2 linked regions of the Arabidopsis thaliana genome follow. The protein of the gene in region 2 interacts with the protein of the main gene of each other region in a pairwise test. Each region holds a gene or a part of one and is shown on either strand. Other genes may lie near its edges.

Region 1 (3,476 bases), on a different chromosome or scaffold from region 2:
AAAGCGGGGGATGCAAAGGACGTGGCTTATGAGAAGGCTGGCATTGCCAAGGATATGGCCTATGATAAGGCGGGCAATGCCAAGGACATGGCCTATGATAAGGTGGGATCTGCTTATGGCAGTGCGCAGAAGGCAAAGGATTCTGGTTATGAGAAAGCTGGTGAGGCCAAAGACTACGCCTACAAGAAGGCTGGCAATGCAAAAGACATAGCTTACGAAAAGGCCCAAGATGCAAAAGACTTTGCATATGACAAGGCGGGTTACGGATACGACAAGGCCGGTGATGTGATTAGGATGGCAACGGATAAGAGCGGTGAAGCCTATGAAGGAGCCAAAGAAAAGTCAAAGAGTGCCAAAGACACGGCAGGAGAAGCAATGGATGATTCTATTGACTACATGAAAGACAAATCACACAATGCCAAAGATGGAGCAACTAGAGGATTTGAAGAAGCCATGGAAAAAGTCGGCGAAAAGTACGGTGTAGCCAAAGAATCCACAAAATATGCTTATGAAACCGCAAAGAAAAAGGCTTCTCAAGTTGCGGGAGAAATAAGAGACCGTTATGCTGAGCTCTAAAATCAATTTGTTATACAATAAACACAAAGTCTTTAAGTTAAAGCAATGTTGAACAAAGAGAAGTAAAAATAGTATATATATATATATAGAAATCTCTTACAAATCCTTCTTCTTTGCTGCTTGTTTATTGTTGTGCATCCAAACTTTAAACACTTGTCTTTTAACTTTAATCTCACGACAAAACCGATTCACTTCATCATCTTCTAGTTTTGTCATTCTCCAACCAATCTTCTCAGCAAACTCCATCATCTTCTCCTTCTGTTCTTCATTAAACTTTGTCCTAAACCGTTTCTTGGGTTGATAATGATGAAACTGATCCACTCCATAACCACTAAAAGATTGATGAAACTTGTTTAGATCCTCCGTCGATGACTCCGCCGCACAACCACCACCACCACCAAAACTCATCATTATCGGAGACACGTGGCGGCTTCCGAGTGGTCTCTGTGAATGGCCAAAGCTATTGAAATTGACAACAAACAAACCATCGATCTCTTTTCTATGGAAGCTCCGGTGGCAATCACAAGCTGCACAAAGAAGAGACTCCACCGTGCCTTCTTCCCCGGAAGACATAAACTCGCCGCAACCGTCGACAACGTGTCCACCGGAGCTCGCCGCGTGATTCTTTTGGCATTCTCTATACCTTGCCTTCCCCGGAGAAGTAGTTTGAGGCCTAGCGTATGATCTTGGAGCATGAGATATAGAAATTGGGTTAGTATCAAGATCCGGATCCGGATCCGGGTCCGACCCGTTTCTTTTGGTGGTGGGTTTCTCTTTGTTGGCGGTTTGGGAGTAAGTGTACGGAGGAAGACGATGATGATCTAGAGCTGATGATTTTCTTCTTGTCATCTCCATTTTCTCATCTTTCTTCTCTCTAACTTCCATCTTTTCTGATCTTGAAGCTTCTGAATAAAGAAAACCCTAATATATAACTTTTCTCTTAAACAAACATTAAAACTTTCTTAGTAATCTCTCTCCAAAACCCTAAGCTATTTTGATTAAAGAAATCATCATAGCTTTAGCTTCTCATAAACCTATAGAGAAAATGAAGATGATAAATATCTCTTCCAAAGTTGAAACCTTTTTAAAAATTTTGACTTTGACTTTTGTATTAGTGATAGCCCACCAAAACCTACTAGACTAATCTCAAGTCTACAAGCAACTAAATTAAAGGGGAAAACTTATCTAACCCCATTTAAGAAGAGATCAAGAAAAGAAAATAAAGTTTAGGTCGTTACTAATGGAGAAAGAGAAAAGAGGAGAGAAGAAGACACTATTGGTCCTTCTAGAGAGAGAATTAGAGAATCGTGTTTCCTATTGCCCATCAATTTCCGAGAGAGAAAAAAAATCTAATGAAGGAGCCAAGTGGGTTTGGTCTGTGCCAATAATAATAATAACACAGTCCACTAAGAAACAAGAGATGGAGAGAGAAAGTAAGATGTGGACTTGTAGCAGACAGTGCCACGTTGTTTCTCTATCATACAGTGTCCGCACATTGGTCGCAATACATCTTTCTTTTATTGGTTTTTAATGTTGAGTAATGATAAAATTATCTTGTGTTAATTAAGTCGAATGTCAACAATTAGTATAGTTGATGAGATTAGTGTCTGTGGCTTAGCGTAAAATTAGCGATGTAAGTAGGTTTAGTACGATCAGTGCAACATATTATGGTGCATGCATTAAATATTGTTTGTAAAATAAAATGAAAGATTGAATACCTTATGAACATTTACTTTGTAAAATAAATAAGATAACCAAAATATTGTTTGTAAAATAAGCGAAAATCGAATTGGTCGAAATATTTGTAATATATGGTATGGTCTCTTATCTACTTTGATCTGATTTTTAAAATTCAGACAACCAAAATAAGATGATTTGGGCAGAATTTTTTCTCAACTCTTTTATTTTGCGCTAATTAGAGTAACCAATCACATTCTTAATGTTTTTTTCCGTACACACCCTTAATGTTTAAAGTTATGAAAACATACAATAAATAAAAAAAATGGAGTAATCGACAGTGTTTTGACCGGATTTGTGTTTCATAATGCAATCCTTACACAATTCTCATTGGAGAGCTTTATTTCATTTTATTTTTTTGGGAAAAACTGGAGAGCTTTTACCGGACTTTTAATATATAAAAACTTATGAAAAAAATTCTTAATAGGCTTTTCTTCCACTTGTCAATTTATATTTAATATTAAATTTTTCATTTTAGTGTAAGTTACATTAAAATAACAATATTTATTGTTAAGATATTCAAAATAAGTATCTAATGGATGAGAATTATGGTTTAGAAGAATAAATATAAAATCAAAACAAAAAAAAAGAACAGAAAGTGGACGAATGATGTTCTACTTGACATATAAAACTAAAACTAAATCTTCAAACCAAGATATATATATATATATATATATATATATATATATATATATATATACTTTTAGTTACGGTTGATTTCTCCAAAATGGAGCCAAAAGATCAGTAGACCATGATAGAAGAACAAAAAAAGGATTTTAGTGCTGGATAATGATTATGATTCGTTGATGACATACAGGATTATTATCATTTGTTTAGTTAGTTGAACAATTATATTTAAATTGAATGGTCAGTCTAGATACATGTAACTATATGCATTTCTCATGTGCGACATATCTCATCCCATATGCTGTTCCTCGCGGCCACACGTTCGGGGAAATCTAACTTGATTTTTTTTACAATAAACAATACTAGTACTTCGTGAAGAAAAAGAATTACTAACATTTTGAGATTCTTAATTTCTAATAATGCCTTTTTTAGAAGAAAAAAAAATCAAAGTTTAGGAGAGAGGAAAATAATAATATTCTAAAGTTTACAACTATCATCTAAGAAACTAGTATATATCATTCTATCATTGTACTTTT
Region 2 (6,270 bases):
CCCTAAAAATCTGTTGAGACAAAAAGTTATATTTTTTTTGGTTTTACCTTGTACATAGGATCAGGGAAGCCAGAGAAATCGTGGATCGTGTTATTGCGAAGAACAGTGTTGACAGATGGGAATTTGGTGTCCCAATGAGCAGAGATGACTAAAATCGATTTGGGTTTTTGAGGAAGAACTTTTTGAGTCCATGATTTGAAGAATTGTCTCGCTTCCAAGGAATCATCTATGCTCAAAGTTGGAGATCCATGAGATAAGAAGAAGGTTTGATTCACTTTCTCCATTGAAAATTGAAATCTCTCGAGATCTTTGCCTCTCTTTTTTTTTTTTTGCAAATGTTTCTTTTGACCAACTCTATTAGTTTTGGTTCTTCCCCAGTTTTGATGTTGTCTGAATAAAGAAACCTTTTCTGTTTGTTTGTTTTGTCAAAAGGGACACACCTACATACGACAACGACCAGGGAATGTGTATTTAACCAAATTAACCACATTTAATCTAAAAATAACTTTTTGTTTCTACTAAATAAGTTGAAACCTGTTTTAACAATTTTGATTTAATGTGATCTCAAAATTACTTGTTTGACTAATACACAGAGGATAGATTTCTATGTGTTTAGATAAAGATGTTGTTACAAGTGCATCTATTAAATCTCAAGACATTCAATCAGATAACACAATATTTCATCCCACATTAATACATCATAAGGCAATCCCATAATATACAGAAACCAATTTAAGAAAAGATTACATCTTGTCATTGCAACTCAGCTCCATGAAAGATCTTGTGTTTTTCTCATGTTTGGAACAGCTTCTTGCAAATGTTTCCTGAGACAAAACTTCTCTCCAAAGTAATCAAAACGTGTTGCTACTATAGCTGCCTTGATGAACTACCAGGTAATTGGGCAGAACTCAAATGCTCTTCCTGGAATAACGAAAAGATTTAACGATATCAACACGTGTGGTTCGAGTACAAAATGATACTAAAGTAAAGACTTTATCCAGGCAGCTGAGACCTGTAAAGTGTAAGTGAAATTGGGAGGAGGTCTGAAATCGATTTGACCCTGGACCGGACAATAAACAAAAGATGTTAACAACACGATCATTCATAACACAGTTTTTAAAATCAGTTTGAAGGATTTTATAATGTACCACCATCCCAGACATGGCTTGCTGATTCGTGAAGAAGCTATCCTGCGCCGGTGCTATCGAATTCAGTTGTCCCTGAAGAGTCAAAAGAACCAAAATTCATGTCGTTGACTTATACTCTAGCACAGATTTGGGAGATTCAAGCATTTAAACTATATGTAACCTACCAGGCCTTGGATGGTTCGTTGATCTACATAGTAGCCTTCATGAGGTGGCTCCATTAAATTTAACTATATCCACAGTTTAAACAGGTTTAGTATTAGGGTTTATAATAGATGTCGAATGGCTTAACCAGGTTTGTATTAATCAACTAACATAGCATACCAGTCCTTGAACGTTCTGTTGAGGACCATAGTAACCATTCATGTCCATCGCCTCTGAACTTATAGTTTCCTGCACAAAATGTTAAAACTATAAGGCCATATATCCAAGACATCCTACTCTTAATCTCATAAAGCAATGTGCAGTTACAATGATCAAACTAATTAGAGAAGATCAAATCAAAGCACAAACCATTGGTTGCAAGCTCTGTTGAGATTCAAGCATTTGGCTAGCCTCTTGTTGTCCCTGCATAAGATCAATTTGAGTATCTTCTTTTTAACCTTTGAAGCTAAGAAAATGTACGTAGGTTTAGATTGGCGAGAAGCTTCAGTAAAAGCATACCTTTCTTTTCCTATATACAGTCTTCTTTTTTGTTGCTTTTACCCCAGCCATTACCTGGTTTTCTTCTTCGTGAGTACCATTATTAAGCTGGCTATTAGACTCAGTGATGTTGTTTCTAGCATTATTCATATCAACACAATTTTTCAGGGTCTCGACTAGTGTGCGCAATGCGATGTTGTAGTTTTCTTCTGACACACAACCTTCCTCACTCAATTCAGTGGCTCGACTACACAAATCGTTATAGCGCTGAACTCGGGTCTGTATCTGGTCTGCTCCTTCACCAGCTAATACTCCACTCTTAGCATCTTTTGTCCACCTTTTCAATATATACTGAGGCGGGATGCTGGCGAAACCACACATCTGCAGAATCATCAAAGCATGCCGACAAAGAAACCCTTTGTATTCAAACATACGACAGAAGCAGCAAAGTTCTGACTTAGTTTTGCTCCACGTTACAAGAAAGTCATCGTCTTTTTCACAGTCTTGAACTCTAAACGTCGCCATATTTTCATCTTCTTTTTCCTTTCTAGGATGGCAAGCGACAACCCCCAAGACCTCGACTTGAAATTTCTTAAATATTGTGTGGGTGTAAGTTGTTGCCATTTGCTTCTCCCAGGGCGAGGGGGACTTCAATGCAGGTTGCTTGTGGCAAGTATCGAAATCTGCAACAGATTCCTCTTCGTACCTATTCTGCAGAATCACACCGTATTGCCTCAAGAACTCTTTCAGCGTGATTTTCTTATGGATGTACTTATCGAAGAAAGAGTTCACACTTTCTGAACGTTGAGATGTCGACATGCCTGCCAGAAACACATCGCTCATAAATGTGGGCACCCACTTTTGGCGATGTTCATGCAACCATAGCAGCCATTCATCATTCTCAAGTCCAAACTGGCTGACCATTTTCCACCACCTCATATCAAACTCATCATCTGTCCAAGATCTGAAAATGCATTTGTTGAATTTCAGTAAGAAATTCTCGTGCCGTTTCATCACATGTGAGAAATATTCAGGAATCTTTTCTAAAACATGCCATAACGCAAAGCAATGACGAGTGTTTGGTAGGAGCTCTGAAACAGCAGACATCAAGAATTTATCTTGGTCAGTGAGTATAACTTTAGGAGCTCGACCACCCATTGCTCGTAGCCATGTTTTTATCAGCCACACAAAAGTCTCCATAGACTCATCAGCAACCAATGCACAGCCTAGTAACATAGGTTGGGAGTGATGGTTCACCCCAATAAATAAAGCTAGTGGCAACTTATCGTTAAACTTGACATAAGTAGTATCAAAGGATACAACATCATTGAAACTCAAATAGTCATCTCTGCTCTTGGCATCAGCCCAAAACAGATTTCTTAAACGTTGGTCCTCGTTCAGGTCTATAGCATAAAAGAATTTAGGGTTTTCTTTCTTGATACGCTTGAAGTACTCAAGCAGTACTTGAGAATCTCCTTCTTCCAAAGCTAGATACCTACCCTTATCAACCTGACTGCTGACATCGGTCTGAAGAAGAGACCCGATATTCTTATATCCGCCAGATTGTCTCGACATTTCAACATACATTTTTTTGGTCCGTTCACTAACCGCATGCAGAATGTCGATATTATTCTTCTCAGCTAACTTGACATTCCTCTGAATCCGGAAATGATAAGCAAGGGCAGGTAAAAGTTCGTGATTGTGATCCTTTACAAACTCATGAATGATCCATTTCCCATCTGGTCTTCTCTTCACATGCATACTAGCCTTGCAATCTGTTTTTTTCACAGTTGACCTTCGACTACTACTACCACTACTCTCAGACTCAGGAGTCACACCATATCTGGAACAAGCAAACTTAGCATCAATGAAGTCTTTAGTTTTCTTGGAACGTCTACTGTTTTTAATCGACGTAGTAAAACCCATAGATTTTGCATATTCCTGATAAAAGATATACGCTGCCTCATGGGTATCAAAGTCTATACCATTTCGTGGCTCAAGATCCAGATCACCACTAAATCCAACATCTCCACCTATATTGAACTCATCAACAATTCCTATATCTCTGTTACTATGCGGTTCAACTACAATGTCAACCATATGGTCATCCCCTGCATCACTAACCAGATTCTCTTGCAAATCCATCCTAACCTTAGCCACATATGGATTCACTAACACACTCAAAAGCAACTACCCCACTATGGGCTTCCATGAAATTGGAAACTGAAATCTTTCTACTAGATAATCCACCTTAGCACCTGAAAAATGTCACAACCAAACTTCATAAGAACCAGCGCGACATCTTCTACCTAAAAACATCAAACTTGAAACACACAAAGCAATATGAAATCAATGGAATCAAATGAAAGTGAAGAACTTTCAACAACATAACTTCTAATAGTAGAAAAGTTCTGTTTCTAAAGCCAAAAAAGAGTAAAATTTCACACAAATAAGAGAAGGAGACCTGAGAACTCAAACTAAGAGAGTCAGAGACAACATACTTCTAGTAGTAGAAAAGTTCTGGTTCTAAAATTTCAGTGAAAGAACTGAACTTTCATTAGTATCAGCATAAAAGACAGAGACTTTAATGTATCTTAAGAGAAAACCTGAGAATTCAAATGAAGAGACTACAAAATTCAGGAAATGTCAAACTTTTGGATTGGTGAGGGCTTTTTACTGTATTTTCTCGGCCACCCAGAGAGAGACAAAGGGAGGGAAGGCAAAATTCTGACGTGAAAAGAGCAAAGCAAAGAAGAACACGAAGCAGGCGAGTGGGGAAGCAAAAGCGAGTGAGGAACCAAGGAGCGTGAGAGGAGAAAATCTAGGGTTCTTTTTGGGAATTTTTAGGGATCTTGGATTATGTTTTTATTTTTATTTTTTTCATTTGTTGTAAATCTCTTACTAGCCTTTACTAATTAAACATAAAGGCTTTTTGATTGGTAACACGTGTAATGACATAATGACGTTTGTTTTCGACGCGATTTTTTTTCATAATCGCGTCTATATTTACGTTTGGCGTGTGAGAAGCATTGCTGATTTATGTATTCTTAGAAAAATTGATTATTTTAAAAGCATCAGCATTGTGATTTTTTACCAAAATCTCTCGCCTACATTAATAATAATAAAATAATAAACAATATTTTTTTAATTAAAACAATTTCTAAGAAAATATGAGAAAGTTTTTAATTTAAAAGATTTGAAAAAACTATTTTAAAAAACTCTTCAAATTAAATATTTTTTTTATTATTATTACTTTAGTAAATTAAAAACTTTGGTTAGAAACCACCACTACACATGTTCTAAAAGATTTTAATTTTAACTGTATGATAATCTTCTTTTCATACAGTTTACTATAATTTTTCCACATTTTTCAAAAGAGTTATGTAGTAAACTAAATTTATCATAACTTTTAATATGATTTTTACATCTATTTTTATGATTTTTACATAACTATTAATATCTACAGTTTTTTTTTTATTATAAGTTCAAATAAAACAAAAAATACAAGAATATTAAAATAAATAACATTAAATCTATTTTTGTACATATGAGATACATGCTTATTCTTATTATGACAAATCAAGTATACTTTTTTTTTTAATCTTTACCGTCATTTTTTCTATATATATGTGGGTATCTCATATTCTATATGTAATATGCTAATCAATTACATGATGTTGATGGCTTTCACATCAAAACAGAGCTGACATTTGCCACCAAATATAAATAAAACTGTAGGGCAAATTGTACGAGAGTTGTGCTCTGAGTCACTTGCTTTTAGATTTAGTTATGGAGTTACAAATGCAGGGTTTGCATCTTATCTTTTAATATTTTTTTTCTTTTCTACTCACATATCTTTTTTTTTATGTGGAGTGGAAGATAATTGTTTTTAATTCATTTAATATTTTTTGATTTAATTCCTTTTTAAACAGCAAAATCTTTTAATATTTGATTTAATTTGGCTAAATTCTTCTAAAAATCTGAAATTTAGACATTAAATAACTTTCTAATATATATATATTTAAGTATTACTGAGAACTTTTTAATATTATATAAAAATTATATTATTTAATTAATACTTTAAGCTACCATATTATCATTAATAATGGTTATATAATTTAAAAATAATTAAAATTTGCTACGGAAAAAAAGAAAATATCAAAGAGGTGAAATAGACACGTAAGCTAAAAATCCAGCGTTGGTACTAATAGTAACCAGTAACCACTTTCATTTGTCCGTCTCGCTCTTTTAGCCTGTCAACGCTTTTCTATTTTGTCTTTTTTCTTTCTTCTAAAAATTCTCTCTTTTATTCCTTCTTCCATTTCTCTCTCTCTTCTTCCTTCTCCAGTTACTTTGGTCTCCGCCATGGCTACACAGTAAGCTTTTTCTTCGCTATTCGACTCTAAATTTGCTAACTTTGAATTCGCTTAGGTCATCTCTAATTTCACATTCGTTATTTTTCTTTTATTTTCAATTTAATATA

What was found. Proteins that work in one complex are often made in the same cells at the same time.
Region 1: the proteins of FAR1 (region 2) and HB24 interact in a two-hybrid assay, tested with the Arabidopsis thaliana proteins (one large-scale study listed by BioGRID).

What each region holds. Positions count from the first base shown.
Region 1 is NC_003071.7:7,970,450-7,973,925, forward strand, and holds HB24 (homeobox protein 24), read right to left. Parts: upstream 1,633-3,476; 5' UTR 1,462-1,632; coding exon 673-1,461; 3' UTR 577-672; downstream 1-576. Other genes in the region: AT2G18340 (late embryogenesis abundant domain-containing protein / LEA domain-containing protein), read left to right, coding at 1-576. UniProt on the Arabidopsis thaliana protein: Putative transcription factor.
Region 2 is NC_003075.7:8,612,468-8,618,737, reverse strand, and holds FAR1 (FRS (FAR1 Related Sequences) transcription factor family), read right to left. Parts: upstream 4,679-6,270; 5' UTR 4,465-4,678; exon of another isoform or gene 4,046-4,464; 5' UTR 3,933-4,045; coding exon 1,809-3,932; intron 1,713-1,808; coding exon 1,659-1,712; intron 1,539-1,658; coding exon 1,470-1,538; intron 1,376-1,469; coding exon 1,313-1,375; intron 1,221-1,312; coding exon 1,149-1,220; intron 1,061-1,148; coding exon 1,013-1,060; intron 922-1,012; coding exon 868-921; 3' UTR 568-867; downstream 1-567. Other genes in the region: catalytic LigB subunit of aromatic ring-opening dioxygenase family, read right to left, coding at 48-284. UniProt on the Arabidopsis thaliana protein: Transcription activator that recognizes and binds to the DNA consensus sequence 5'-CACGCGC-3'. Activates the expression of FHY1 and FHL involved in light responses. Positive regulator of chlorophyll biosynthesis via the activation of HEMB1 gene expression.